Linked DNA regions of Ovis aries. The protein of the gene in region 3 purifies or fractionates together with the protein of the main gene of each other region. This does not show direct contact. Links are inferred from orthologs where the notes say so. Each region holds a gene or a part of one and is shown on either strand. Other genes may lie near its edges.

Region 1 (7,639 bases), on a different chromosome or scaffold from region 3:
TGACCCAGGGATGGAACCCGCATCTCCTGCTTTGGCAGGTGGATTCTTTACCACTGAGTCACCTGGGAAGCCCTCTCATTAGAGTAGGGGGCCCCAGTCTACCAGATCTGATGATTGATGACCTGAGCTGGAGCTGATGTAACAAAATAGAAATAAAGTGCACAGTAAATGTAATCCCGAAACCAACCCCACCCCTCATCCCCAGTCTGTAGAAAAATTGCCTTCCACAAAACCAGTCCCTGGTGCCAAAAAAGTCTGAGAACTACTGTGCTAGAGAAGTATCAGGAGAGCAAGGGATTCCTTGACCCACTTCAGAAGCCCTCAGCTCCCCAGCAGCACCCTAGGATGGATCAGCTGAACATGACTCCACAGGTGAAGGAAAAAGTTTAAACCACCTAACCGCCTGAAGACTCAAGGAATGTGGGTGCTGGACAGTTTACAGAGCAGAGACAGGTGAGTCTACGGTCTTTAAATAACCATGGGTTTCTCTCATGTGATAGCCAACAAGCAGAGAAAGGGCACACAGCAGTGTGTGTTACAGTTCTTTCCACCCTTATGGAGGTCTAACAGGGCTGTAGAGCCCACTGCACTGATTCCGGGTAAAGCCTGTGAATCTAGATGAGGTCACTCATCATCAAAATAGAGTGCCACAAAATAATTTAAATGAGGGTCAGGACCAGACAGAGCCTTGTTTATTCCCTCTAGCCTCATTTTGTTTGTGACCTTTTGCAAAGCCTGTTGAAAGATGCTAAGGAACAGCGAGGAGAATGGGATGCACTGCCATCCACCACTTTCCAAGAAACATCTTCTACAGAGGGCAACAGTTATCAAATGATGAAGGCTCAGACCCTTCTGACCCAGCAAGTCTTTACTTTGAGGAACTAAGCCTATAAATACGTTCACATGGATCAAGTGTTGTTCACAACAGCCAAAGACTGGGAGCAAGCTAACATCCATCAACAGGGGGTAAGGTAGCCTAATTATTTAAGGGACAACTACAAAGTGCAACATCATTAAATCTCACACACACACACACACTACCAGGAAGTTCTTTATTATGTTACAAGAAATGATGAAATGATCTCCAAGACATTTTGCTGCAAGAAAAAGCAAGATGCAGGACAAAAATAGTGTGTTTTACCATTTATATTTTTTAGAAAGAAGGGATGGAGGACATGCATGAATCATCTGCTTACATACGCATAAGATGTACTCTGCAGGGATGTACAAGACACTGACAACACGGTCTCAGCTCCAGGAAGAGAACCTGGGTGGCAGGTCAGAAGGAGTGGGAGGAGTCATCCCACTGTGCACCCTCCCTTTCGCATCTTTTGATTTCTGAATCAGGTGAATGCATTACCGAGTCAAAAAGTACTTTTTCAAGGGTGTTTAAAGATCTGCTCTTTTAAGAAAGAATGAAAATAGATAATAGCCATTTTTCCATGACTTTACCTGGCCAAAGGAAAAGGTGGTAAACCCAGGCATGGCCTCTAGTTTTGGCCTCTGAAATCCAGAAATCTGAGGATCCCTATGCCACGGACAAACCAAGATGCGGCTGACCACTAGCGTTTTCTCTGGTCTTCCTACCAGAGCTGGACATGGCTGACCCAGCTGTAATCACATGTGTTTCCTTAGATTAAATAAATCATTTCTCCTAAGTCACTTGGCTTCATTTCCTTATAAAACTATGTTTACTAGCTTAGTAACCTACGTACCAGACTACTGAGACCTGTGCACAATGCTGTTTTAATTTTCCAAAGCTGAAACATGACTGGTGTCCTGTAACTCTCTGTGATGAATATGTGACAGGTTGGCTAGTAGGCATGTGAATGGATGAGTCTGAACCATTATTACTATGCTCAGACAGCTGTAGTACCTAGAGAATGTTAATGTGATCATCAGATGGTACAAGGATATTCTCCAAGTAAACAAAAATAACACTACTGGAATACTCCTACAGGTCAGGGAAACTTCAGTTCCCGCCAAAAAATTGACATCAACATTTGGACTTCACATCTGCATTTATCACAGTCAATCAATAGTGGGCTCTAGCTGACCCCCAGTTCTGTATCTGGTACAAACGAAGACACACCGAACTCTGTGTTCCCATAACGCCTTCATCTGAATCCTAGACATATGGCCAGAGGTAGACACAAATCCCCACATGGACGCAGCTGCAGGCTCGCTCTACTGCTAACAGTCTCACACTAACCTGATAAAAAGTGCTGTTCATGTGCTGCCAGGCCAGAGACCAACAGGACCAAAGTGTGGAACTCACAAGCAAGGTGACTAGGAGGCCACACAGAAGACTTTGAGAATTACAATAGTGCGTCATGCAATGGCAGGATGCTACTGAAACCTCACAGAGCCACTGTGACATGGCTTAATTCACATGGCAATGCTGATTTTTCTGAAGAAGCAGAAAACCCATTAAGCATAATCAGATGGAAAGTCCCGCCTCTGCAAAAACAAGGAAAGATTCACAGCAAAGGCTTGGCTTTCCTCACGTTTGAGTGGGTGGCATTCATGTTGGAGAAACATCTTAATGCAGAGTTCTCACCAGCGCTACTAACAGCCCACCCACCCAAGGGTATCAAAGTTTGCTGGTGTACTCACAAAACCTCTGGGTAACTAAATGCCACTGCAAGATTTCAGAGAGGTGCTTAAACACATTCTTGTAGCAAATTTACTTTCACTCTTAAAACACCAATGGAAAACACCTACTAACAAGTGACAGACGTTATTTTCTTAGCACCAAAATCGCTGCGGAGGGTTGACTGCAGCCACGAAATCAAAAGACACTTGCTCCTTAGAAGAAAAGCTATGACAAACCCAGACAGCCTATTAAAAAGGAGAGATATCACTTTGCCGACAAAGGTCCATCTAGTCAAGGCTATGGTTTTTCCAAGAGTCACGAATGAATGTGAGAGTTGGATCATAGATAAGGCTGAGCACTGAAGAATTGATGCTTTCCAACTGTGGTGCTACAGAAGACTCTTGAGAGTTGCTTGGACTGCAAGGAGATCAAAGCAGTCAATCCTAAAGGAAATCAACCCTGAATATTCACTGGAAGGGCTGATGCTGAAGCTGAAGCTCCACCTCGGGCACATGATGAGAAAAGACGACTCACCGGTTAAGACCCTGATGCTGGGAAAAACTGAGGGCAAGAGGAGAAGGGGATGGCCAAGGATGAGATGGCTGGATGGCATCACTGACTCAATGGACATGAGTTTGAGTAAGCGCCAGGAGAGAGTGAAGGACAGAGAAGTCTGGTGTGCTGCAGTCCATGGGGTCATAAAGAGCCAGACATGTCTTGGTAAGTGAACAACAGCAAGTTATTAGAGGGAACAGGAACTTTTTAAAATGAATTTTTATCAAATTAACATACAAATCAGCTAATTCTCATAATTAATGCTTTTTAATTGGGTTGGAAAATTTGAGAGCCATCCAAAAAAGCGCCTATTTAGACCAATATCTAAAGGGTGCTCCAAGTCTAATTTTGTGCTGAGCTATTTCTTTAACCAGGGGCTTGGCTTCCCAGATGGCAGTGGTAAAGAATCTGCCTGCCAATGCAGGAGACAAAGGTTCAATCCCTGGGTCAGGAAGATCCCCCGAAAGGAGGATATGGCAACCCACTCCAATATTCTTGCCTGGAAAATTCCATGGGCAGAGAAGTCTGGCAGGCTACAGTCCATGGGGTCACAAAGAGCTGGACACGACTGAGCAACTGAGCACACACACATCCCTTTAACTGGTTTCTCAAATATATCTGTTTCTCAAATACATCCAACTACGACTGTATCACTATAGAAAGAGATCCACTCAGATAAGTCAAAGAGAAATAGGACCTGTCAGCTGAAATATTTACTAAAACTATGAAAGATTTAAACCAGGCTAGTATTAATTCAGGTATCACCTCACTACACTGAGAACCTGAGAAATAAGAGAGATAATTGAAACCTGAAAGCATGATGGATGAAAAATTAAGAAGCAAATAGTCTCTCTTCTTTCAATAAATGAGCTTGAGCTTGCCAGGGATGGGAAAAGAGTGTTTTCAAAGGCTGACAAAGGAAACTGCCTTAGGAAACCAACTGCTGTCCCTTTTTCCCCACTTTCCAGGAGGATAAAACACAGGAATTATATCATCACAGACTCTCCAGCTAAGATACGCTAAACAGGCTCCAGCAAAGCAGGCCAGCTTGAGCACAAAGGGATCCCTTTTTACAGTGAGATTACAATGAGTCTCATGTATTTTCAACCACTTTATCTGTCTTCCTGGTTGAAGAACATATAATAGGAATCCAAGTCACAAAACCAGTAAACGCCTAGAGAAGTGAGATGTGACCTTCCAGGAGATTACACAGGAGAGACAAAATGTACAAACCACAACCAGAGGCTCGGCTCAGACTATGAGTGCGAAAAAGAACAGGAAGCACTCAGAGACTGTTAATTCTCTGATGCCAGGCACTATGGGTAAAGCTTTACACACGTTGTTTCTTTAATCTTAGAATTCTACGAGGTCAGTACTGTGATGGGACTCCTTTTTACAAATGAGGAAACTAAGGCACAATGCAGGTTAAGCTACCCGTTTAAGGTCACAGTGGGGAGCGGGTGGCAGGGTTAGAACTGGAACACAGACAGCCTGTATCCAGTCTAGCTCTCTCCCAGTTCAGGACACTGCTACGTGGAAAGGGCTCTTTCCACAGGAAAAGGACGATATCAGAGGAGCTGCTGGCTCGGAGAAGTTCCTTCCCAGGGATTATACCCACTGCCAGCAGGGTGAGGAGCCAGCAAACTGGAGGAAAATCAAAACAACACAAACCTTTATCCATAACTCTCCCCGCTGATCCCATTGGAAGAGAGAGTTCTGTAAGTCAGTTTTAAGACTAAATACTTGGCCTACAGTCAGGATAGTAAAATACTAAGTAGTGCTAAAATCGAGTCATCATGCAAAGAATTTCAATTAGAAACCTGTCTCCTTGTTTCTGGCTCAGAGAGTATCAAGAGGCACTTTACACACTGCAGAAAAGGATGTAAATTTCGAGGCAACCTCATCAGAAGGCACTTTGGCAATGTCCATCAACCTTCTGACCAAGCGGCATAAATGCTAGGAATTCATCCCGGGGATTGACAAGTTGCAGTGTGCACTGGAGCACTGTCTGTTAACAGTCCACAGAGAGAGAAAGCAACCTCAGTGCCCAGCGATGAGGAGACTGGTGAAGCAGACTGTCGTAGGCAGTGCTGGAATCCCAGGGAGAGGGAGCTGACACGGAATGCTCTCCAGGGTACGCTACTGAATAAAACCTTGGGCACAGAACAGTAGTTACACTACGACCTCATTTCAAAGATACACTCTTTTAGTGTATAAACGTACCCACCTATGCATTAAAATTTTCTAGATGGATATCTAAAAACTGTTAATAGTTTCTTCTATGGAGTAGGGCTGGGGGAAGGGAAGAGAAAGGAAATTACTTGCCACTTTATATCATTTTGAGCTACCTGAAATCTTTTTTAACCAGGCTGATTATATATATACACACACACACATATATATATATCAATATATACTGCCTGAACACATCTTTTAAAAATATATCAGAGATTTAATTTTCAAATTGCCTCTTCAAATATAACATTCATGTGTTTTTGTTAAATCGTACATCTTTCTATTTTTGTACCTTGTTTCCTTCGTACACCCATCCCAGACTCTTCACACCGAAAGCAGCCTGGTTGGCGGAGACGTCCAGACACGTGACCGGCTGCCCGTAGACGTAATGGAGGGTTCTGGCAGAGTCTTCAGCTTTTAGCAGGTATACAAGATCTCCAGCGGTGGCCACTGCCACCGGGTACCTTTCAGTGTCCGGAACTATTTCAAGGTAGTCAACCTGTTAAAGGATAAGGGTTGGTTAGTCCTTCAGGTTTCACCTACAATTCGTCCTGACTTGGTCACAAATGAACAATTCCTCCTGCATGTCAATGAGAAGATCAGCAACCCAACAGAAAAAGACAGGTCAAGGGATGGTTCACAGGAAGTGAAACACAGTTCCTACACAAATGAAATGATGCTCATCATAAAAGAAACACAGCATACTCCTAATAAGAGAAATGCAAAGTGAAAATTCACAAGGTTATTTGCTGCAGCCCTATTTGGTCACAGCTAAGAACCAGAAAACCCAGAACATGCCTCACTAAGGGACTAATTAAACAATCTACAGTACACCGATGTCCTGGAATACCATGCAGTCACAGAAAAAACCACTGACATTCTCTATAAACTCTTACAAACAGATCACTGCTAAGACAAACTTGGGGGGGAAAGCAAGGAAGCAAAGGAAGAGGACTTTACAGTGTGGCAAGGTGTGTAAAAGTGGCAGAGGAAGCCTGGGACACACTTGGCTTGTATGTGCGTAAATCTAACAGTGGCCACCTTCACGGAGAGAAATGAGTTGTGGGACAGAGCAGAAGGGAGATTCTTACTATAAACCAGATTGTATCTTTTAAATTCTGAACCACGAGGCTATAATAACTATTCAAAAACCAGAGTTAATTTTTATTTCTTCATAAAAAGACTGAATAAATGACAAAATTCACTCAGTTCCAAATTAGCCAAAATTGTATTGTCACGCTTGGGCAAATACCACAAACGTGTTGCTGAAAGTGTCTGAGTTACCTGCTTCCTCCCGGTTTCAACCTCGTCCAAGGTCGGAAGGCCACAGGGAGCACGAAACACCACACAGTCCTGCCGGCCGTGCTACTGCTGCCGCTTTCTCTAGTCGGCACGCACTGGAGGGGCTCCCTTTAAGAATAATTTGCTTTTCTAGATTCAGAAGGGGCATGCTTGCCCCAGGGCCATTTATATCAGGTTTTCACCTCCCTGAATAAATTCTGAGAGGACAAAAGCAGAAGGTGAGCCACCTCTGTAATTATGAAAATCCACAGTCCCTGACAAGAAGCCAAGCAAGTTCAAAGGCCTGAATCCTGAGACCCGTCCAGAAGCGCTTGAGAGGTAAACATCTGGGTAACTCTGCTAATCCTCAGGCCCGACGGTGTGAGTGGTGGCCCACATCCCCAGCCCAGCGCCCATCACAAAGGACAGCTGTTCTGGGCCGGCATTACCGACCCGGGAACACTGCCACTGTGACTCAGGCAGCCTATCTGAGGAAGACAAAGATGGCGCAGCCCCCAGCCTGGAGGTGCCTTTTCCAGGGATGGCCCTCATCCAGGGTGAGAAACAATGGACAGTGTTATGACACATGCCTCCAGCAGTGGCCGCTCGAGTCCCCTGTCCCCCATCCTAAACGTCACTTTTTGCTTTCCTAAAATCAACATCCTCAGTCTAGCTGTTAAATTTCACCTTCATGTTGGATTTCTGGCAGATCAAGAGCTCAGACTGACTGTGACTGTGCCATTTGCTGGGAACTGGACACGACTTCACAAAGCTTCTGGTTGGTGCCAGCATGCCGCCTGAGTGCCAAGGTTGGATTTGCACTTTCTGGAGGGACTCACATCTTAAGTGTCTGAGTTCATATAATCATTGTTAATCTACAGAGTTCTTTAGGCAGAGGCCAAATAACAAGCACTACGTGGTTTTGAGAAGAAACAAAAATATGGTACTTTTGCATTTCTCTAATAAAACCCC
Region 2 (7,639 bases), on a different chromosome or scaffold from region 3:
TCGCAGGTGATGCCCACTCTCCAGGAGGGACAGGAAAGCCCGCAGTTCCTACCACAGTAAAGAATCCCCCTGAGACAGGAAGCAGTTGTCACCGGGCACAGGGAATTGAACCCATGTCCTCTGCGCTGGAAGTGTGGAGTCATAATCTCAGTACCAGCAGGGAAGTCCCGGTCAGGGAACTAGGATCCTGCATGCCATGAGTTACAGCCAAAAGAACCCAGTACTTGAGTGCTGAAAATTGCTAACTACCCTCCGAGCCTTCAGCAAGTCATAATCCTTTTGCAATAGTAACATCGAATATCACTGAGAATTGCCAAACCATGACGCAGAGACGCAAAGTGAGCAAATGTCATCAGAAGAAAAATAGCAAGACACTGTCGCACCCTTCAGTTTCTGAGAAACATGGCAACGCACAGCGAAGCGAGGTGCCTGTGCACCCCACGTCTGCACACTGCAGGCTCACCCCTTGAATCGGCAGCCTTCTGTTTCTGCTGGGAAAGGGGGTGCATCACCTCCAAACCAGGCTGGGAACTTCCAGGAGCTTCTCTAGGCCTCAGTCCCTTGTAGGAGGCTGCCAAGGACCCCAGAGCTCTAAACCACATTGCCGTGGGACACTCTTCAGACCAGACGAGGCAGGAGGTTCAGGTTTTAGACAGTCACATCTGGGTGATTGATTGACTGACTGATTGGGATAGGACCCCAAGTTCTGGAAGTCAGCCCCTCCAGATCCCCCCAAGATGTGCCATCTGAATGTTGGGGGGGCAGGTGAGCTACAACATAGGGGTGTTTGACGGGGTGGGGCTCTGGGCCACGGGGGGCGACGGCACCCTGTGTTCCAGGGCTGTTCTTTCCTCATCTCCCCAGAAGCCTTTCTGAGCTGATAAGGCAGGATCCACAGTTTAAGGGAAGAATCTGACTCCGGGGAGCAAAACTCTGTGTTTTCGGGTCACAGAGGAAGCGAGTGCCGGGGCCCCTCCTAACATGCATCCCCCTCCATAGAAACCAGAGGTGTCTACACCCTCGACCTATCCGGCGAGCTCCCCGCGGCTCTAGAGCAGATCTTTGAGAGCCAGAAGGGCTGTGACCTGTTCATCAGGGTGAAGGTGCGTGAGGAGGACGAGCTGGCCATCTGCGCCCACAAGCTGATCCTGTCCACCAACCCCGAGGCCCATGGCCTGTGGAAGGAGCCGGGCAGTAGGGTCACCATGGAGGTGGATGCTGAGTGTGTGCCCACCGTTAAGGACTTCATCAGGTGAGTGGCCTCGGGGCCGGGCCCAGGGACCGGGCAGCGTCCCTGCCAAAGGAAAACCCCAGGGACGAGGGACGCGACACCAACCGCAGCTGTGCTCACCTGAACACACGCGAGGGCAACCACATACGTGCTCTCTCACTTGTGCGCACACATGCTCACACACCCACACGTGTGCACACTCACTTTCACAGCCACACGTCCTCACCTTTGCACACACATTCTTATGTATTCTTTCCACAGGGACTGTGAGAAATGGGTCAGCCCTCACACGTACACACACACACACACACGCACACCACACCTGTCTCTCGGGTGTCATAAGCACCCAAAAAAACTATCAAAGTCATTCTTCCTCTTTTCACCTCACTGATCTGCTCCTGCAAAAGTTTTTTTTAAAGAAACAGGAATCCAAGTCTGCTGCCGGAAGAAAGTGGGGAGAAAATTCCCAGGTGGCACCGTCCAGGCGGCAGTCTAACCAGCGGGCCATCCACGCTGGGAGCCCATCTCCCAGTTGAGAGTGGCCCCCGAGGCCCCTTCCCCTGCAGACCATCCTGCTGGGGGGTCTCTATGTCACCACATCGGGCGGGCTTTCCAGGGACTGGCGTTCTGGGAGCATCAACTTAAAGAGAGAACCAAGTGTATGAAAAGCTGTTCCCTCTCATGACCCAAAGTTGTAGCTAGCCGAAAGTGACATTTAAGAGGAAACAGCAAATGGCAGTTTAAAAAGATTAAATGGCGTCTTTTCAGCCGAGGATGAGAGCTTGGCCGCTGTCCTGCGCCCCTCCCAGCAGGGCTGAGGTCTGTGATGCGTCTGTGCCTGGTCCCAGCCTCTCGGCAGTCACCGCCCTCGGTCAGAGTCAGCGGTTCTCTGGACTGTCTAGCCATGTGCTCCAGCTTGCTCTCTCTGTCTCTCTCTGCCTTCCTGTCTCCTTCTGCCTCTCACTCCATCTCTATCTTCCTGTTGCCCTGTATCTTTGTGTCTCTCGCTCCCTCCCTCTCTCTCTGTCTCTCTCCCTCCTCTAAGGCAGAGAGGCAGCAATGAGCCCCACCCAGGCCCTAGAGGGTCTCTGGAGACCCTGGTTCACTGCCTACACCACCCCCCACTCCCCTTCCCTCTGCCCGGCAGCCCCCACGTGGTGCAGATGACCATTTTGGTTCTCGAGTTCACATTCAGCAACAGAATCACAGGATGTACTGAGCACATCAGGGCAGAGCGGCAGGTGGGACGAGGACCGGCCCACCCTTGCTGCTGCCACTGGACTCTGTGGGGTCCCGGCTCCTTTCTGGGCACCCGAGGCTCCGTGTTCAAGTGATGGGGAAGCCAGCAAGTCTGAGGCTCCCTGGAAGGCTCGTCATTCGAGAGAAGTGGTGGACAGAGTTTGGTTCTTTCCAAAGCAGGGCCCCATTCACCATCTCCCAGGAGACGGCAGGGGCCATTGCCTGGCGTTTCCCCTCCCAGCAGGCTCCCTCCACACGTGTCTTCATGAGCAAAGTGCCTCCTGGTGGCACACTGAGTTACACGGTGGGTGGCATAGACTGGGTGCCACCCACAGGGCTCACAGCTGGCAGGGATGGCAGACAGGAGGTGACCCATGATGATGCCCATGTCATGGGGGCACCAGACAGGTGCTGGGGCAGAGGGGCACCCATGGGCACCCAGTGGGGAAATCAAGAGTTCTGCCCAGGGGTGTGACAGGGGAGAGGGAAGGGCAGAGCCCCGGATGGCCAGCGGGTCCTGGTGTCGGGGCCCAGCCCATGAAGATGACGGTGATGATGGAGGAGGTGGCGGGACCGTCCCCATCAGTGAGGACGAAGCAACATCCTCAGGGTGTCTGGGGTCCGCCCAGCTGCCTATGCACTTGGCTCTCGGCCCACATAGCTTGGAATGGGGGTTGACTCAGGAGATAAGTCAGGGGGCTCCAAATGCCCCCTGAAATAGCTGGCACCCCGGGGATCAGCAGTCAGCCAGACACCTGCACCGGGGCACACCTGTCGTCCTTCGGGAGAAGGGGTGTAGCCAGGCGTCAGCCCTCGTCTCCCCTCAGGTACCTCTACTCCCGGAGGATCGATGTGTCTCTGTCGTCAGTGAAGTGTTTGCACAAGCTCGCCTCTGCCTACCAGGCCGAGCAGCTGCAGAGCTACTGCGGGCACCTCTTTGCCATCCTCATCCCCCAGGACCCCTCTTTCCGGACACCCCTGGAGCTCTACGCCTACGCCCTGGCCACCCGGGACCCCGTGCTGGAGGAGATCTGCGTGCAGTTCCTGGCCTGGAACTTCGGGGCCCTGACGCAGGCCGAGGCCTGGCTGAGCGTCCCCCCGGGCCTGCTCCAAGACCTGCTCTCCAGGACCGAACTAGTGGTGCCCAGCGAGCTGGTCCTGCTGCGGGCTGTGGACGAGTGGAGCCGGGAGAGGAGCACCTCCCACAAGGAAGTGGAGGGCTTGGTGGAGAAGGTGCGGTTCCCCATGATGCCACCCCGGGACCTCTTCTCGCTGCAGTTTAACCTGTCCCTGTACTGGAGTCACGAGGCGCTCCTCCAGAAGAAGATACTACAGGCCCTGGAGTTCCACACCGTGCCCTTCGAGCTGCTGGCTCAGTACTGGGGCCTGAACCTCACCGAGGACGCCTACCAGCCCCGGCTTTATACCTCGCCCACCTGGAGCGAGTCTGTGATGAGCTCCAGTTACAACCCCTACCGGTCCTTCCAGACGCCCCAGCACCCCAGCTTCCTCTTCCAGGCCAGTTCCGTCTCCTGGTCTTTAGTCTACCTCCCCACCCTCCAGAGCTGCTGGAACTACGGGTTCTCGTGCTCCTCCGATGACCCCCCACTCCTGGCTCTCTCCAAGTCCAGCTACTCCAGTCCCACCATTGGCTATGAAAACCGGGCCCTGCTGCACTGTGAGGGGAGCTTTGTGGCAGACGTCATCGACTTCAAGGGCTGGAAGGCCCTGATCCCCAGTGCCCTGGGTACCAACAGCTCCAGGAGCACTTCCCTCTTCCCCTGCCCGGCAGGGCTCTTCAGCAGGTTCCAAGTCGTCATCCGTCCCTTCTACCTGACCAACTCCACGGGCATGGACTAGACTCGAGGCTGGAGGTCGGGGTGGGCAGGAGCCCAGAGGCTGGGCACCTTCCTCCCCTCCACATCCTCTCTGCAGCCACCTCCAACCACCGGCCACCAGGTGGCCCCCCTGCTTCCCTTGATCTCTCTGAGCTTACGGAAATTACTGGAAGACTTCAGCTACTGCAGACTTCCCTGGTGGCTCAGATGGTAAAGAATCTGCCCACAATGTAGGAGACCTGGGTTCAACCCCTGTGTTGGGAGGATCCCCTGGAGAAGGGAATAGCAACCCACTCCAGTATTCTTGCCTGGAGAATCCCATGGACAGAGGAGCCTGGCAGGCTACAGTCCACGGAGTCTCAGAGTCAGAGACAACTTGTTGCAAAGAGTTGGACACAACTGAGCATCTAACACTTCCTTCCTTCCTTCAACTAGTGCACTCACAAGCTGAGAACTCCCACTTCAACTGCACAGCTAATTTGTTGGGAAGCAATGAGATGTGAGCCAGGAGCTGTTGGGTTTCCTACCTGGCCTTTCACTTTCTCCACCCTCTGCTGTCCCTTATCTGAGATCATTAAAATTGTACTGTGGTTCCCCCAAGTTCTCTTGTTCACGCAGAATGGGCTGATGAGTCCATAGGGTGTTGAGACAGAGGATGATGCGCTAGGCCCTGGGATCCAGTAATGAGCCAGTGTGGTCCCTTCCCCGTGAAGCTGCTGTGGTCTTGTAGGTGAGACAGGCCATTACAAGTAAGCAAACACTTGGGGTGAGGACCAGCGGGAATAATGGGTGATGGAAACCAGAGGAAGGAAGGTGGGAGGCACGGGCTGGAGCTACTTTAGTGGATCTCAGTGGAGAAATGAAGCGTGCGAGGCAGCAGGCGTGGGGGAAATGGCAGGAGGGTGTGTGTGTTCCAGGGAGAAGGATCAGTAGGTGATCGGAATCTTGGCCCCATCAATCTTCCCACTTGTGTACAGGGAAGGGGGCAGAGATTCTCGTCCCAGCATTGTTTGTAGAAGTGGAAATTTGCAAAGAACGTAGAAGGCCACCAATGGGGTGCTTGAGCACAAATAAAGGACACCCACAATGTGGAGGGTCAGGCAGAAGGGTATACGGAAAGGAGACCGGAGGACCCACGGAATCTAGGGCAAGGCAAGGGAACCGGACCTGGGGTCCCACAGGGACATTGTGTTAGAATGCCACCACCAGGTTCTGGGCGCTGGAGGCTGCCCCTGCTGCAAGCGGGGCAAGAATTCTAAACTGTCCCCGCTTCTTTGTGATACACACGCTCCAGGCACCAGGCCCCAGTGGAAGCATCTGGTTGGCCAGGCCCAGGCCACGTGCCCTTCCCCCTGGCCAGGGTCTGAGAGAACAAGCACCTGGACTGTTCTGGCCTTGAGAAGGGAGGCAGCACTGGACTCACCCAACGGGAGGGAGATCCAGAAGCTGGGCAGCCAGGACGGCAGCTGTCCCCACTACACACGCCTCTTCCCCTCTAGCCCTGCGAAAACAAGAGCAGGGACACACGAAGCCTGCCCCTGCCCCCATGCAGCTTCACCCTTTCCCAGAAGGCGCCCCTAGCCCCAGCTCCCTCCCAGGGTCCAGGCCCACCATCTTGGGCACCTCTATGGTGGTCCTTTGACATCATAAAAATCTACCACTTTGTTTAAACCACACTGTTGACCATGGCCTTCACCGCCGTCGGGGACCGTAGCTGGTAAAGGAAGACAGGAAATGCTGGTTATCAACGTGCTCCAGACACACACAGGGGAGCGCCAGTCTCACTGAAGCAATGAGCCACAAACCCACAGCATCCTCCTCTCCTACCCACTCCCTGGACCTCTGCCCAGAGCCAGCACCCCAGAAGTGAAGGTACAGGCCTGGTCAGGTAACCGGAACCTTTGCTCCAGAGTGCTCCGGGCCCTGGTGGATCCAGACTATAGGGAAGCCCGCGGCCCCACCTTGAGCCATGGGATCAGCCGTGTGAGGACACGCCCAAGGAATCCCCGAGTTCCTTCCATCCTCCTTATGGGTGTTCAAGTGGCAAGTTTGTCCCCCTGACAGTCAGGGTCCAGCCGCCCAGGGTAGGCCTCCTGCCTTCTTTCCTCACCCATCCCATTTGCCTGAACACATGAGTGGTCCCCTTGATCGATGCTGGTCTCAGCTTCTGGCCAGAGGAGCCTGGAGGTGTCTGTTAGTGGAAACATTCCTTTCGTGGGTGTAAAAACTAAACCAGCAGAGTCCAGAGTTAGGGGGACCGGACGCAGAGCGTCTGGCCCTGGGGCCTAATCTGTCCTGCTCGGCCACCACTGGCTCCCACACTAGGGGTGCAGGTCGGGGAGGGACTCCCACCGCCACAGACTGGAGCCCAGGGCCGGGTGTTTGTTTGGGGTTGTTCTGTTCTGTTCTGTTCTGTTCTGTTTGGCAGTAAATAATGAAAGAATGTATGAAGGAATCTGGAAGCTGGGCGGTTCCAGGATTGGCTAATGTGCTGTTGATGTCTTCAGACCCAGATCCCTCTGTCTTTCCTCACTGTTATCTGGAGCCTTGGGATCTGGCCTCGCCCTCCGTGTCATGGGCTACTCTTGCGACAGCAAATCCCTTGGCCTTGGCACCTTCATGCTCGGGGAGCAGCGGTCCAGCCGTCGCACTGGTCGGTGAGTCCAGGGCTGGTAGCGCTAAGGCGGACTGATGGGTGGGGAGGACGACCCAAATCTAGTTAGTGTCGATCCCACGGATGGCAGGTGAGCTGCCTGCCTTGTGCTCTGACTCTAGGCTTTGGGTCACCACTAACGGGCCACAGCAGCACCAAGTGCGGCAGGTGCCACCTCAGACGTCCAGAGGGGGTGCCCTCTTCTGAGTGGCCAGGGCCACCTGTCCTTGGCTGTGGCACAGTGAGACGGCAGGGTGCAGGCACAGAAGCAGTGAGCTGGCGCGGACAACAGCCGCATTCCAGGTGTTGGGCTATACCACTCTGCTCCGATCAGGCTGTGCCTGGAAAAACGGGAGGGCCCACTGGGATCTGCACCTGGTCTAGTTCAAGATAGCCTGCTAACCAAGCGTGTACAAGAGCCCACAAAATCTTTCCCGGGAGCTCTCGGTCACCTGGTTAATGGCCAGGAGGAAGGTTGTCAGGACTCTGCACACTGTTGGAGTGCAGGGCCTAAAAGCTTGGCCACTTGCCTCTGAGGGGGCTCTGAGTGACCCAGAAATTGGGAGGGGACCGCACCCTCCCGAGGTGGCTCTGCTCGGGTTTTTTTCTCGGTGATAAGAATTAAGTAAGAGTTTTGCAAGCTGCCCATCTATTTTGGTCCTGAGCATCTCATGAACA
Region 3 (7,234 bases):
TGGCAGATCCCTGGCAGTTACCACACAGGCCAAGTAATCAAACTCCTGCATTTTATTCTGTGGAAAGCCCCGGCCCTACCTAACCCTGACCCTGTCTCCAGGGCTACCGGAAGGTAGAGAAGCTCTGGGTGCTTGTGCAGGAGGCGTAGGGCACGCCCCGGGAGCGGATCTGCAGGGTGTGGAAGGTGAGGGGTGGGTTGGGGCCCAAGGAGCCTGGGTTCAGGGACTCAGTGTGAGGCTCCATGACAGTCACGGGAACCGCATAAGACAGCCTCTGGGGCCGGTCATCCTGGCGTCTCACCGTGCCCTTGCCCAGCAGGTGCAGGATGCAGGAGAGAACGTCAGCACTGCCGCAGGTGGACCCCCTGCCAAGGCTGCTGACCAGGCCCCTGGGAGGACATGGGCCCTTCTGCCAAGCCTCCAGCACCTGGTGTGGTGGGCCGAAGGGGAAAGAGAGGTCAGGGACACCCAGCTTACCCCAACTCTAGCCCCCAGTCCAAGGACAGCGAGGCCCAACCTCACTTCTCACTCACCTACAGGGTCCACAGTGAGCCCAAGACTTCGCATGGGGATCCACCTCCTCCTGGAGACTGCCCCCCACCCCACAAGGCCCCCACCTCCTGGAGACTGCCCTCCAACTGGCAAAGCCCCCTCACCCACCACCCACCGCCACCTACCAGGCAGACAAGCTGGTCAATGTGCAGCCCCTCATCCCCATGGGCTTTGAGGATTCGGACGATGAGGCAGTTGAGAAGGTTCCGTCTCTTCTCCAAGTTCCGGCCCTCTTCATCCTCAGCTTTCAGGTATGTCTGAGCTGGGATGAGCCACACGTTGCCCCTCCGAGGCCTGGGTTCCTCGCTGCCGTCTCGAATCTTGAGCAACCCTGAAATAAGTGCTGGTCACTTGGCAGGGGTCCCCCGAGGACACTGGCCCCGGCTGAGGACACAGGCCCCAGTGCCCTAAGTACAGACCTGCTGGGGTGTCCTTTGTCTCATCAAGGTCCAGGGGGCCCCTTGACGAAGTCAGAGGCCCAATTGCCTGATTCAGCACATCTGGAGGGAGCCCCGAGTGCGCCAGCAGACTCTCCACAGAGACCGCCTTGGGAAGAAGAGGGAAGCATCAGGGCCTCCCAGGGTGGGGGGCAGGGAAGAGAGAGGGTGGAGAGAAGAAAGAGGATGGACAGGTTGCGAGAACAGGGGGGCGCGGGGGAGCTGGGCCACCTTCAGCTCGTTGAAATGCAGCAGCAGCCACATCTGCACGGTGGACACGTGCAGTGTCTGGTCCCCGAACTGCAGCTCCGCCCGGCCCAGCCATGTCCACTGCAGTCGCCTTTGCGGGGCCTGCTCCAGGGCAGGGTAGCTCTGACCTGAGGAGGGTCAGGGAGGTGGCAGGAGTCGGGGGGCTGGCGAGGACGTGCCATTGCTGGAGTTTTGTCCTCACTAACCTCTGCAGAGCCTGGGGTCCAGTGTGTCTGGACACTGGCTCTTGGTCTGAGCTTCCAGAGCTTGGCCTTCCTTGAGTCTGCCTCCTGGGTCAGCCTCAGGTATCTGGGAGCCCACCCCATGCCAGGCAGCCCGTGATCAGTGCCTCCGAGGGGTTCTCCATTTTTTTAAGGGAGACAAAGTCACGAAGTGAGAAAGGACTGGGGCTCTCTTCAAACTGGAAACACTGTCTTGAAGCTGGTAGAGAAGCTCCCTGAGGGCAAGGTCTCAGTATCACCCACCTCCTTTTCACTGCCTAGGATCAGCCTCCAGTGGGGAGCTGAGGTTATGATGACTGACCAGGAGCCAGACACCCACCACCACCTGTGGACCTCAGGTGCTTTCTGCCTCCATTCTCCCCACCATAATGGGAGTCCCAGGTCATTATTTGAAGAATAGAAACAGCAACAGTCCCGGGATCTGGTGCCGTTTCACCCCACCCCTACTCCAAACCTAAGTTCCAGTCTTTTCTTCTCAAATCTACAGGCTGCCAGGCCCAGGGGCCACCGCCAAGCCCAGGTTCTTTCCCAGCATCCTATCCTCTTCCCAGGTCCCCAGTTCCCTCAGCCCAGCTGCTCACGCTTGTTGTAGAAGTTGGAGTATCGGTTCAAGGTGCCCCTCAGGTAGGCAGGCAGGCAGGTTCTGGGGTTGAGCGTGTGGCAGATGGAGGCGGTGGGCCAGCAGCGTGGAGACAGGACGAGCACAGACACTTCTGGCATTGCCCCTTCATAGTAGAGATCCTCGCTCTCGTCCTCCTCCTCCTCCTCCCCTGCCACGCCGGCTGCTGCTGCTGCCGCCACAGCCCCAGCTTCCAGCTCAGCTTCCTCCCCGGTCCCTCTCTCATGGCCCCTGCCACTGGCGCTGGCGTCACGGCTCACCTGAAGATGGAACACAGGGTGCCCCTAAGCCAGCCGGCTCCTCAGGTCTGTCCCGAGCCTCTCTCTGCCTTCCTCTCTTCTTGCTGGTTTAGTTCCCTCCCCCGCTTCCACCTGTATCTTCTTCTCTGTGTCCTCCAGCTTCAGGAGTTCCTGATCAAGCCGCTGGAGCTGGTATACATGGAACTGGCGTTGCAGCTCCTCTGAAGTGCTCAGGCTCCGCAAGATCTCCTGGGGGAGGCGACTGGGGAAGCAGGGGCCGATCTGCTCCAGCACAGCCCCCTCCAGCCAACTCGAGCCCACGCCCAGGAGACGGTCCGCCATGTAGTGCCTGCAGCATGCACAGCCCAGGCTGAGTCTTGGTGAGGCTGCCTGGCAGGGCCTCCCACTCCAAGACTCCAGCCTACCCAGACCCCAGCCCCCAGACCCCGAGGGCTTGCCTTGCCCATCATCCTGCCTCCTCCCACCTCCCACTTCCTCGGTCCACACTCACTGGTAGTAATGCTCGAAAGTGGTGGCTATCTCCAGACCAGAGAAGATGAGGACGGTTTCCAGGCATCGTTGCAGTTGGGCCAGCATCTCCATTCCCCGGGCCCCACCGATCCGGCTGCCCTGGATCCGCTGGTCGATGTGTCGGGCAAACTGCTCGCTCACCTGGGCAGTGGGGAGAGCACAGGAAAACTGTGAAGGAGGTGAGATCGGGTGTGTTCAGGGTGGTATGATCGTAGTCAGAAACTGAAGGAGAGAATGAAGCTGGTGAGTGGGAGCACAGGGAGGAGGAGCGTCTGAGGAAGGAAATATGAATGGCCAGCAGCTTTATCAACTGGTCAACAATTATAAACAACAATTTATAAAATTCCTAAAATCATTAACAACTGTGTACATTAACAATACTGGGACTTCCCTGATGGTCCAATGGTTAAGACTCTATGCTACTGATGCTGGGGGCCCGGGTTTGTCCCGCGTGCCACAACTAAGACATGACACCCCCAAATAAATTCAGTAAAATAACATTTAAAAAAAATACTAACAATGATAAACATGATTTTCACATTTAGCATGTCTAAAATCCAACAATGATAATTTAACACAAGGAGACAAGCACACAAGGCCACTGAGATAAAGTGAGTCACATAAATTTTCTGATTTGTGAACTTGGAGGGAAGGGTCTTCATCTATCTTCAGCTCTTATCACAGTGCCTGACACATGTTAAAAGTGTTAGTTGGTCAGTCATGTCCCAAGTCTTTGTGACCCCATGGACTGTAGCCCACTAGGTTCCCCCTGTCCGTGGGATTCGGCAGGCAGTAATACTGGAGTGGGTTAAGCACTTGGAATAATAGGAACGGTGGAGGAAATTACAGTACATCCATTTGATGGGCTCTATGCAAAAATTTGAGGACAAATAGCAACATGAAAATGACTTTTAATGTAAGGGTCAAAAAAAACAGGATAAAGCATTTAGCTACTTGTGGGTAAAACTAAGTGAAATCAAGCATGCAAGTAGAAGAAGGTATGCAAAGATATATTAGAATGGCACAAAGCAGGTCATTTTTTACTTTTATCTTTGTGTGTGTGTGTGTGTGTGAGATCTTAGTTCCTTGCCCAGGGATTGAATTTGGGCCCACAGCAGTGAAAGTACAGGGTCCTAACCACTGGGCCACCAGGGAATTCCCTTTTTTTTTTTTTCCAGATTTTTGATAACATGGGTCTATAGCAATACATGCTTCTTGCTGAGTGGGAATGTAGGGGGTGGGCAACTCTGAGGAGGGGAAGAGAGAGTTTGAGGAGAGAGGTCCCAGGGCAGGGGACACAGGAGGCTTACGTGGGCAGCTCTGAGGAAAGGCAGCTTCAGCAGGGCACCAGCACAGCCATTCTGCAGCGCCAGCAAAAAGGCTGCCCGTGGCCCAAACAGCTCGGAGCTCGCCTTCTGCAGATTACTGAAGTGTTCGCAGTAGCGGGGCACAAAGTCATCATCCCGCCAGCGTGAGGTCAGAAAGCTGTGCACCTGGAGGGTGGGAGTTGGCAGCGTGAAGGCAACCCAGCACGCCGGGGGCACAGCCCCGCCCGCCCACCCGCCCGGCTGGCCGGCCCACCCGCCCGGCTGGCCGGCCCACCTGCTGCTCCACCACCGCCCGCCAGCAGCGGGTCAGGTTTCTCATGATGCTGCTGGGAAGCCCCCGGGTGGCCAGGGAGCTCCAGTCATGGCTTCTGTTTCTGCCCTCTGTGGACACAGCGGGAGGGGCAGAGGAAGGGTAGGGGCAGCTCCTCAGCTCCTGGGTCCCCCATCCAGGGCTGAGCTCAGGGGGTCTTTCTGGACATGCTGCCCACTGAAATGATGCTCCCCGGTGGGGGTGACACAAACCAGGAGGCGAGCAGCAGGCTGAGCGTGCAGGGAGGGGACAGTGAGGAAGGAGACGCCCCCCAGCCAGCTCCCGGCACTCACTGGGCCGAGGCGTGGCCGCCTGCAGGGAGGGGACAGTGAGGAAGGAGATGCCCCCCCAGCCAGCTCCTGGCACTCACTGGGCCGAGGCGAGGCCGCCACCGCGGGGGGCGCTTCACAGGGCTCCACGTGCACCAGCAGGTGGGTGAGACGGCGCACCCGGGAGGAGAACGCTGCTGCGCGGCTCTGCGGGTTGTGGGCAGCCTCCCGACACTCCAGGTACTGGTCCAACAGCCAGCCCAGGGGGCTGACGCCTTCTTCATCTGGAGGCGGGGGAAGAACAAGCTAAGGCAGGGCGAGTGTGCAGAGGCTGCTGGGGAGGCTGGCCTGGATGGGCGTGCAGAGGAGAGCAATGGACTGCCACAGGAGGGGAGGGAGCAAGGCCCCTCCTGACTGTGTGGGGTCAGCTGACACCCGGGACACATGGAAAGGAGGCGCCCCTGGGCTGTGAGAAGCCGAGGGCGTGGGGAGGCTGAATGAGTGCGGGTGCCAAATGGGCCAAAGGCGTCACCCAGGAAAGAGCAAGCAGGGACTGGAGAGTGGGACTGAGCACCGGGATGGTGAATGGGCCGGGGCAGGGGCGGTTACCAGGGCAGGTGATGTTCTGCACCAGGGGGCTGACCAAGGCCTCCCAGCAGGTCTTGCCCAGTGCCTGGGCGGCCTCTTCGTCAGGGAGGAAGTGACTGGCAAAGTTCTGCTCGTGGCGTAGGGCACCGTTGAGTCTGGGGAGGGGAGGGGGTGGGAAGGTGTTGGGGGCTGCAAGCCCAAGTCTGCCAGCCTGAAACTGCAGGCTACCCCTCAGGCACACAGGCGCACACGTGCTCGCACACCTGGAGCTCAGGTGCAGGAGCCCCCTGCGGTCCTCCGCGATGTCCTGGCTCCAAGCCTGTGCCCGGACCATGTAGAAGAGGCGCGTGTGGCGGCACAGCTGCTCCCGGAACACCGGCCAGAAGGTGGGCTTGGGGCCCAGGACCTCCAACCCCCGAATGCGCGTGTCAATGCCGCCCTGCAACGCACACAGGCCCGTTTCCACCGGCCCCACACACTCCTCAGGATGGGCTGGAGTGCTGGTCCAAGAACTGCAAGTCACAGGGTGCAGAGCGTGGGGCCCACGCCCCCCACCCCATGTCCCCCAGCCCCACCTGCTGGCAGCGCTTTATGCGGATCTGGATGACGGGCCAGACGCAGCTCAGGTTCTCCAGGAGGACCACCCGGCTGGCGGAGGGCATCACATTCACCTGGCGGGGTGGGGGGCAAGCAGAGAGCACGGTCACCGCCCGGTGTGTGGATGGGAGTGCTGAAGGCACCCTAGTCTGCTTCTGTGCCCTGCTGTCCCTCCTTCCCCCAGCCCTGGGGTGCATGGGGTCCTGACGGAGGGGGTCCCAATGCTATCCTCACTGCCCGGGGCCTGATGCCATCACAGGGGCACACGGACAGACTTCACCTTCTATGGGGCTCAAGATGGAGGAACACGGGCCTTTAGGGATCTGGGCAGGAGGGCGGATCCCATGAGGGGTGGCCAAACGGCACAAGGGGCCCTACCGAGTTGAGTTCCGTGTTAAGGGAGGTGGCGCTGTCGCCCCCGAACACCACCACCCTGGCCGGCATGTAGCTCAAGTCCTCGCTAGCCACCAGCAGAGCCAGCTGCCTGGGAGGGGCGAGGGCAGAGGGACCAGTCAGCTCCAGATCCAGTCGGGTGCCCACAGACACGGCCAAGGGGACCTTCTGGTCACGTTCAGGGGGACGGGGGCCCTCCCCAAGACCAACAGCAGGGAAGTCGCGAGAAGGCGAGGGTGTGTGTCAGGTGCAGGCCCGGGGCGCGCTACCTGATGAGGGTGCCCTGCTGCATGTGCAGGGTGATACGGTGGGAGCCCGCGCTGCCGTTGGACTCCCAGTAGGTCTTGGGGTTGCGGTCCGTCAGCTTGCTGGCCCGGTGTGGGTTGGACGACACCTCCACCTTCTCCCAGCACTTGTCCTCCTTCACCTCCATGCTGGAGCCTGCGGGCACACGGGAAGGGGTGGTGGTCACAGCCTGGCAGATGCGGGGGGGGGAAACACTTGGAGGTGTGGAGACTCGGGGTGGTGAGGGTACACGCACGAACCCTGGCACAGGTATCTGAGGAACACATCGAAGAAGGGGATGTTGATGGGGCGGTGGGTTCGTCTGTGGTCTTCGATCTGGCCCAGCACCATCTGCAGCCAGGACATGGAGAGAAAGGGTGCAGGGAGGGGGCAGGGACATGGAGACACGCGTGGAGGAAAAACCAGCAGCTCTGGGACCACTTCCATGCCACTGGCAGAGCAGGGTCAGCGAGCCAAGAGCGGCTGAGAACCAATGCTCCTCAGGTTCACTAGACTCACCTGCCTTCCAACTTCAGAAACACACACCCTTTCCTCTGCCACCGCTAGGATTTCACACTCTCACCCAGCTGTGAAC
Region 4 (8,171 bases), on a different chromosome or scaffold from region 3:
TTAATCTGGCTTTTTCAGAATCAACTTTAATAAAAAGAAATTTCCTACTACCCATTCTAAACTTAGAAATCTAAAAGAACTTTTCAAAGAAAAAAATACAAGCCACCCTAGAGCAAAACCACTGATTTTCAAAACTATTAGCAATATACTGCACTTCTCTGACCTGCATTCTACTTCAACTCATTACTATTTATCAAACATATTTGAAAGGACCCTAGAATACTCTAGGTGCAGGAAGTAAAGAAAAAAACACATCAGATAAGCAATCTATCCTCAGAGGATTCATATTCTAGGTTCACTCAAAAGAAAATACATCTAGAAAGAATACAGATCAGTACACTACTCCCTGCATGAACTCAGTCTTATAAAATAATAAAGGTAGAGGATAAAGTAGAGCAGAATAGTCACTTCCAACCAGGGAAAGTGAGAGAGGCTTCCCAGAACAGAGGATGGTTATGCTAAGGCTTGTTAAAGAAACAGAAGTTTATCAGGCATGAAAGTGAATGTGTTAGTTGCTCAGTAATGTCCAGCTCTTTCTGACCCTGTGGACTGTAGCTCGCCAGGCTCCTCTGTTCATGGGATTCTCTAGGCAAGAATACTAGAGTGGGGTAGCATTTCTTCTCCAGGGGATCTTCCCAACCCAGGGATTGAACCTGGGTCTCCTGCAAGGCAGGCAAATTCTTTTACCATCTGAGCCACCAGGGAAGCCCATCTCTGAGTATAATTAAGAGAAATTCCAGATTTGAATAAAATTTTACATATCTGAGTTGAAATAAGGATTGTGACAACATATCATACAATCATAATCTCAGCTGCAAGTTCCCCAGTAATTATGTAAATAATGAATCATTATGAGGAAGAAGAATACTAACTATCCAGAAGTTACATCTTGTTTAGTTTAATATAAACAACTGTACCAGGTAATAATAATTATTCCCAACCGACAGATGAGAATGCCAAAGTTTAGAGATTACTGAGATGCCTAACGTCTGCTAAAATGTGGCAGAGTTAGGATTTGCATATAAGGCTGTCCCACTCCAAAGCCCACAGTTTTCCCACTGTATTAGTGGCTTCAATGGGGGTGCTTTTGTTCCCAATCAGGGGACATTTGGTAATGCCTGGAGACATTTTGGTTGTCATTACTGGGGTGACAACTGCTACAAAATATCAATAGTACTAATGTTGGAAATCCCTGCACTATAGCATCTTAGGACAAACTACCATTCCTATGACTTTATTTACTTTTTTTTTTCATTCCTATGACTTTAAAAAACACTTTTTTTTTTTGCACAAAGTGGATTAATAGTCTTGATCAATCTTGACTGTCACCTTTCTTAGAAAAGAAATCTAAGGTGTACTTTTAAACTCTGTCTTATCGATATCTGAACCTTTGAATTGAGAAAACCACACATGGGACTTCCCTGGCGGTCCAGGGGCTAAGGCTCTGCACTCCCAATGCAGGCTGGAGGGAGCCCAGGTTTGATCTCTGGTCAGGGAACTAGATCCCACATGCCACACTAAAAAAAAAAAAAAAAAGATTCTACATGCTGTAACCAAGACCCGGCTCAGCCAAAAAATAAACAACCACACTTTACCAAGGTGATTCTCAAGCTATTAAGGTTAAGCCTCACTATGCTCGAGTCTATCACAATCACCTAATCTCTAACAGTCAGACACAAATCTACATCTTAATCTCCTATTTCTCTACTGAGCTCTAAACATTACTTTTCAATTACCTGTTGCATCTTAAACTCAACATTGGTGAACAATGCCAACTTCCTTGTCCTCCATCAAAGGAACTTTCTCCCCTTCTTAAATTGCCTATTTCTGTTCAGTATATATTATCTCCTCAGAGGCTAGAAACCCCATCATCATGTCACCTGTCTCAATCTCACAATCAGTCCTCTCTATTCTACTCTAAAACTTCCTGCAAGTGCTACACAGTGCTATGGAGGTTGACGAAAATAGTTAAGAGCTCTGACACCAGGCTGTACAGATCTAAATGTCAAATGTCACGTAAAAGCTAAGTAACTTGGGGCAAGTCACTAATTTTTCAGTGACACTTTCCTTATCTAGAAAATCCTATCAGAGGATTCAGGAGAGACTCAGTTCAGTTCAGTTGCTCAGTCATGTCTGACTCTTTGCGACCCCATAAATCGCAGCACGCCAGGCCTCCCTGTCCATCACCAACTCCCGGAGCTCTTCACTCAGACTCATGTCCATCGAGTCAGTGATGCCATCCAGCCATCTCATCCTCTGTTGGCCCCTTCTTCTCCTGCCCCCAGTTCCTCCCAGCATCACCGTCTTTTCCAGTGAGTCAACTGTTCACAGGAGGTGGCCAAAGTACTGGAGTTTCAGCTTCAGCATCATTCCCTCCAAAGAAATCCCAGGGCTGATCTCCTTCAGAATGGACTTTTTGGATTTCCTTGCAGTCCAAGGGACTCTCAAGAGTCTTCTCCAACACCATAGTTCAAAAGCATCAATTCTTTGGCACTCAGCCTTCTTCACAGTCCAACTCTCACATCCATACATGACCACTGGAAAACGATAGCCTTGACTAGATGGCCCTTTGTTGGCAGAGTAATGTCTCTGCTTTTCAATATGCTATCTAGGTTGGTGAGTTAAAAGATGTAAAGCACCTAAGAACATCTGGCACATAGTAGATACACAATAAATATTATTAACTTTTATTGATTTTATTATGATTAGCTAAAAGTAAGATACTCTCAAAGGTTCTCCTCTGAGAATGCAATTGGGAAAAACCAAGGAGTTAAAGAAAGCATTATTTTATCTGGGGCTACAGTGGTATTACGAATACATATCAAAAACAAATGTACTAAATAAAACATTCTAATATTTACTAAAAAAATTATAAATAAAAAGAGATAAGCCCTTTGAATTAGTAATAGATTCTATAACAATGTGTGATTAAAAGATTTTAGTAATCTAAATACAATCAAAGTGCCCTGTATGTAATCCTAGGCCAGAATGACTAGAATGTTATAACAAAGAAAAAAATTTTTTTTGGTAGAGCCACATGGCATGCCAGATTTTTGTTCCCTGACCAGGGATGGAACCTGTGCCCCCTGCAGAGGAAGCACCCAGTCTTAACCACTGGACTGCCAGGAAGTCCCTACAAAAACTGTATAAATAAATAGGACTAGAAAGTATGTTCCTTGAAACAAGATGATGTCTTATATAGGAAGTGTGGGACTGGGATGAGTCCAAAGACAAAATTAGGTGGTGTTAATAAACTCCTGTTCCTGATCCCAAGAAGATCCTTTCCCATTGTGCAGAATGATTTCTGAGACAATTATAGCCGGATGATGGATTATATTGGCCAATAAGGTCATCAAGCTCTCCCAAAATATTATTTACATTTTACTTATATTTCAACTGTAACACTTATTCTGGAGAAGCTAAATGATTTAATAGATACACACCATCTGTTTATTCTGCCTCTTTATTGCTAGTTCTTTACATGTTTATATCTTCCACTAGACTGTAAGCACCTTAAAGTATATAACTGATCTTATTTCCTTTTTATTTTCCACAGTTTTCTATAGTGGATATTTAAGTTGATTCTTAAATGTTTGCTGAAAAAACTGAATGGATGAATGATAGTATCATGTGCCTATTCTCTTACTAGTAAAGACTGAAAAAGTACTCAGAAAGATTGTACTTACCTTATTCTTTTCATTCTGAATAATTTCTAATAGCTGATCTATGTGCCCTTCATCTATACATCTTTGGCCTGCCAACTGAAACAGGCCAAAATCTTCCTCTTTAAAGTCTTGCTCTTCTAGGATTTGCTGGCAGAAACAAACAAAAAAACAAGTATGTTTAGGCAAATGGAAATTCAATAACTATTTGATTTTTCTCTAAAAAAAGAAATCTGTTTAAATTCTAGATAAGCTGCACATAATCGTATGTATGAAAATTAGGATTAGGTAAAAAAATACTTCAATAAATCGCCTTGAAATCCACTGTGCCAAAGAAATCTATGATAAGGATCCGTATTAAAAGTGTAAAGATTATTTCCCTAAGTGACATATCCAATCTGTCTTCCTGCCTTCATGCTATTTATTCATAGGTCAAAAAAAGCAAGGATTAAAGAAGATTAACAATTTGAGTGACTGCAGGTAACTAAAAATAATCTGTGCTCTTCCCATATTCTGAAAGGTCATTAAATGTCATTAAAAATAAAAACAAAAAATTACTTACACATCTCTTTATGATGGACTGTAGTTCCTCCACAGCCATTCCTTATTTTTTCCAGTTTTGATGCTGAAATTTATCATATAAATACCCTGTTAACTATCAATAGTAAGTTACTTCATCATGTTACTTCAGTATAAGTTACTTCATTCTTATGAATTATTAATAAATACAATAAAGAAAATGGAAAGTTTTTAAAGCTGAAACTTTTTTTTACTGAAACGTTAGCCTAAGAAATTAAAACAAAAAACAGAAGAACAAAAACCTCTTTTTCGTCCTTTAAGTTTTTTTGGAGCATAATTTTGAAAGATAAATTGAAGGGGAAAGAAAGTCTTTAGTTCATTCCCAAGAGGTAGCACAAATTTACCCTAAGATCTTTTAAAAGACAGTCTTCACCCTCCTCCTCCACCCCTGCGCCCCAAAGGTGGGCCTGAAATCAATTCTAATTATCAGGGAGCCTTTTTCTTTTCTTTTTTTTTTTTAATGTCCCATTTGACAGAAATTGGAATGTAACACTGGAGGGGATGAAAGTTGGGATGCCTTCCACCCCAAGAGTAACAAGCATTACAGACCCGGGCATCTGTCTGTAACAGATGTACTGCGCCCCGCCCCATATAATCAATTGTGATAGTGAAATCACTGTATCGCGCGAAGACAGGCAACAGGCCGCCCTCAGGGCAACACCGCCCGGTTCGCAGGCCCAGTAGTAGAGACGGGGTTCCGCCGGATCCTCACAGCAGCGAATAAAACCCCAGCGCGCGTGCAGGCTGCATCCAAGGGAAGCCATTTCTCCCGGTTCCTGCCTGCGTCGGCCATTGGGCCCCAGACCTCACGGAGGCCTCGACCCCGAAGCCGGGTCCTCCACGGCTCACCTCCCACCGCGGGCCCCGGCCGCCAGGGACCCCGCGTGTATCCACCTACCGCCAGGCCTCTCGCCCGTCTCGCGGCTCTCCTCCGCCGCCGCCACCGCCGCCGCGCTGCTTTCCGGGCCCCTCCCCTCCCAGCCGGCCCCGCCCCGCGCTGCGCGACGGGAGGCGGAGTCTTGGGGGGGAAAGACGCCAAGGTCGGTTCCGACACTGACGACGCATGCCATGGCCGACTGGGTCGGACCGTGCTCTGCGGGCCGCAAAGCCCGGCGTCCCCGCGCCTCCCGAGATGTCCCAGGTAGGAGGAAGGGCCTCTTCCCAAGTTTGGAACTGAGAATTCGGCCCCGACAGAATTCCAGACGGAGGCATGCGGGCGCTCCCGAAAGGCTGCCCCAGGGAAGGAGATCCTCGGGGGCAAGAAGGCCAAGAGCTTTCTACCGCCGAACTCTCGCCTTCTGGGAAAGACCTTCGTCCGAATCCCCAACTCTTGACGCTAGTCTTCCAAGATTTCCCCCCAAATGGGCTGGCTGTGCTCCAGGCTCTAAGGGAAAGGGCAGCAGAGGTCCTGGAGAGCCTACAATCGGGGTCGTCTGAGTGGGCAGGTGACCAGGAGGGCGTTGGAAGGCCGAGTGCTGCTGGCCTTCACCCTAGCACTGGCCGTCCTTGCAGGTGGACTGCCCCTGTGGTGCCCTGGATCTCTTGAGGACCGGAGAGCTAACATTGAGGGGGACGGAGAGAGGTTGCCCCTAGATCGCAGGCTTTCGGGAGTGCTTAATTATGCGACTAGGATAATGAGAAAATTCAGTCTGAAAGAGGTACATTTTAAACAACAAAAATAATTAGCTTGCAAAACCAAATTGGATTCCCTTCTCATTTCATTTGATTTTCACACAGAGTTGGAAGTGAAATGTGTGGAGAAGAAAAGATGGTCTACAGTTTACTGGGGCAAGAATCTGTCCTGTAACCTGGTGTTTGTGTACACTTGACCTACTGTTTTTTGTTTCTTTTAATGGTAGGTACTAAGCAGACAAGTGCCTTGAACCAAGAAGATACTTCTCAAAGGTATGAGAACTACATAGAGAGCTGCTTTCACTTATCTGTTAATCTCATACTAATTGAACCATTTGTAAAAAGTGTAATAGGTGCTACCTCAGGTAAAATTATTTAGAGAGAAGGGGAAGATTTGAGAAGTACTGTAAACCCAAATAGACTGTTATTTCCCCTACTCTTCCATACCTTAAGAAAACCAAGTTGACACTTTTAGATTGCTGGTGAATGTATGACTATCTGTAGAAAAATGTCCTGAATTAGCTAGGAACCTTTTTTTCATCTCTTCAGATACTTTCCTTTTTTGTTCTATATACCAGACTCCAAGAAACTTTTTGTTGTTTTTCTTTGTTTACATCATGTCCATATTTTCAGCAAAAAGTTGTTCTATACTATTCAATGGGCATCTTCTAAAAAGGCAACGTTTATCTCCTAGCACAAAAGGTTCTTAGAATAGATGTCATCCTTGAGGATGATGTAACTGCATATATCTATAAGTTATGATTTTATGAAGTATTGGTTTTAATTTACTCATTCAAGAATTATTTACTGAATGTTAAATATGCTAGATCTGTGTTAGTCCCTGTGGATAAGATTTTTTTTTTATTTTAATTGAACTCTAGTTGATTTATATTAGTTTCAGATGTACAATATAGAGATTAAATATTTTTATAGATTATATTCTAAGTTATTACAAAATAATAACTAAATTTCCCTGTGTTATACAATACTTCCTTATTGCTTATTTATTGTATACATAGTTTGTATCTCTTAATCCCATACCCCACTCTTGCCCCTCCCCCTGCTGTTTCCCCACTGGTAACCACTGGTTTGTCCTCTATATAAGTGATGTCAGAATAATTGTCTTTCTCTGAGTTACTTCACAAAGCATAATATCCTCTAGGGACATCCATGTTGTCGCAGATTGCAGAATTTCATTCTTTTTTATGGCTGAGTAGTATTCCATGGCATGTGTAAACCACATCATCTTTATCCATTTGTCTGTTGATGGACACTTATATTGCTTCTGTATCTTGGCAATTATAAATTATGCTCCTATGAACATTGAGATGCATGTGTCTTTTCAAACTAGTGTTGTAATTTTCTTCACATATATACCCAGGAGTGAAATTGCTGGATCATATGGTAGTTTTTAGTGTTTTAGGGAACCTCTATACTGTTTTCCGTAGTGGGTGCACCAATTTACATCCCCACAAACAGGAGGATTCCCTTTTCTCCACATCCTCCTCAACATTTGTTATTTGTAGACTTAAATGATAGCCTTTTTGACAGATGTGAGGTGATATCTCATTTTGTAGCTTTGATTTGCATTTCTCTGCTGATTCGCGATGTTGAGCATTTTCTCATGTGCCTGTTGGCCATCTCTACATCCTTGGGAAAGTGTCCTGTTTCTTCTGCCCAGTTTTTAATTGGATTGTTTTTTTTTTGATATTGAGTTGTGTGAACTGTTTATATATTTTGGATATTAACCTCTAATTATTCATATCATTTGCAAATATTTTCTCCCCATCAGTAGATTGTCTTTTCATTTTGTTGATGGTTTCCTTTTGTTTGCAAAAGTTTTTAAGTATAATTAGGTCCTTCCTGTTTGTTTATATTTGCTCTTTCCCTTCATCTTGGAAGACATTTTAAAAAATTGCTAAGATTTATGTCAAAGGCTGTTCTGCCTGTGTTCTCTTTTGGGAGTTTTTCAGTTTCAGAGGCCCTGAGGATATGATTTTGAACAGTATAGACACAGTTCCTGTCTAGTAGAACAGAGAAATATCAATTAAATTATCACAAATAAATACATAATTGCAAATGAAAAGGCTGTGATGGAACTAAAAACAAAAGAGGTTGGCAGGAAGGGTGGTATGTGTTCAGGGAAAAGCTTCTCTGAGAAAGTAATAATTAGACTGACTGGAAGGCTAGGTAGGCACTTACCAGACAGAGTAGTGAGGAGAGACTTCCAGCTAGAAGCACCAATATATGTGACAAGAAAAAAAGAAAGAGATATCCAAGGTCATGTGAAGCATTCTG

Evidence for each region.
Region 1: the proteins of CUL7 (region 3) and FBXW8 purify together in Homo sapiens (affinity purification with western blotting; 12 studies listed by BioGRID and IntAct, with this or other methods). This does not show direct contact. The link is inferred for Ovis aries from reciprocal best matches to the Homo sapiens genes CUL7 and FBXW8.
Region 2: the proteins of CUL7 (region 3) and LGALS3BP purify together in Homo sapiens (affinity purification with mass spectrometry; 3 studies listed by BioGRID and IntAct, with this or other methods). This does not show direct contact. The link is inferred for Ovis aries from reciprocal best matches to the Homo sapiens genes CUL7 and LGALS3BP.
Region 4: the proteins of CUL7 (region 3) and GLMN purify together in Homo sapiens (affinity purification with mass spectrometry; 4 studies listed by BioGRID and IntAct, counting the BioPlex papers as one, with this or other methods). This does not show direct contact. The link is inferred for Ovis aries from reciprocal best matches to the Homo sapiens genes CUL7 and GLMN.

Annotation. Positions count from the first base shown.
Region 1 is NC_056070.1:58,085,089-58,092,727, forward strand, and holds part of FBXW8 (F-box/WD repeat-containing protein 8), read right to left. Parts: intron 5,886-7,639; coding exon 5,679-5,885; intron 1-5,678. UniProt on the Homo sapiens protein: Substrate-recognition component of the Cul7-RING(FBXW8) ubiquitin ligase complex, which mediates the ubiquitination and subsequent proteasomal degradation of target proteins.
Region 2 is NC_056064.1:52,761,153-52,768,791, forward strand, and holds the end of LGALS3BP (galectin-3-binding protein), read left to right. Parts: intron 1-999; coding exon 1,000-1,252; intron 1,253-3,297; coding exon 3,298-4,330; 3' UTR 4,331-4,908; downstream 4,909-7,639. Other genes in the region: TIMP2 (metalloproteinase inhibitor 2), read left to right, coding at 6,806-6,965.
Region 3 is NC_056073.1:16,663,364-16,670,597, forward strand, and holds part of CUL7 (cullin-7), read right to left. Parts: intron 6,991-7,234; coding exon 6,900-6,990; intron 6,796-6,899; coding exon 6,624-6,795; intron 6,446-6,623; coding exon 6,340-6,445; intron 6,036-6,339; coding exon 5,940-6,035; intron 5,804-5,939; coding exon 5,628-5,803; intron 5,520-5,627; coding exon 5,386-5,519; intron 5,061-5,385; coding exon 4,878-5,060; intron 4,579-4,877; coding exon 4,472-4,578; intron 4,363-4,471; coding exon 4,180-4,362; intron 3,011-4,179; coding exon 2,850-3,010; intron 2,688-2,849; coding exon 2,471-2,687; intron 2,360-2,470; coding exon 2,062-2,359; intron 1,367-2,061; coding exon 1,221-1,366; intron 1,099-1,220; coding exon 972-1,098; intron 884-971; coding exon 678-883; intron 428-677; coding exon 104-427; 3' UTR 1-103. UniProt on the Homo sapiens protein: Core component of the 3M and Cul7-RING(FBXW8) complexes, which mediate the ubiquitination and subsequent proteasomal degradation of target proteins. Core component of the 3M complex, a complex required to regulate microtubule dynamics and genome integrity.
Region 4 is NC_056054.1:69,546,425-69,554,595, forward strand, and holds the start of GLMN (glomulin), read right to left. Parts: upstream 5,178-8,171; 5' UTR 5,091-5,177; intron 4,288-5,090; 5' UTR 4,264-4,287; coding exon 4,225-4,263; intron 3,813-4,224; coding exon 3,687-3,812; intron 1-3,686. Other genes in the region: putative RNA polymerase II subunit B1 CTD phosphatase RPAP2, read left to right, coding at 5,310-5,382, 6,101-6,146.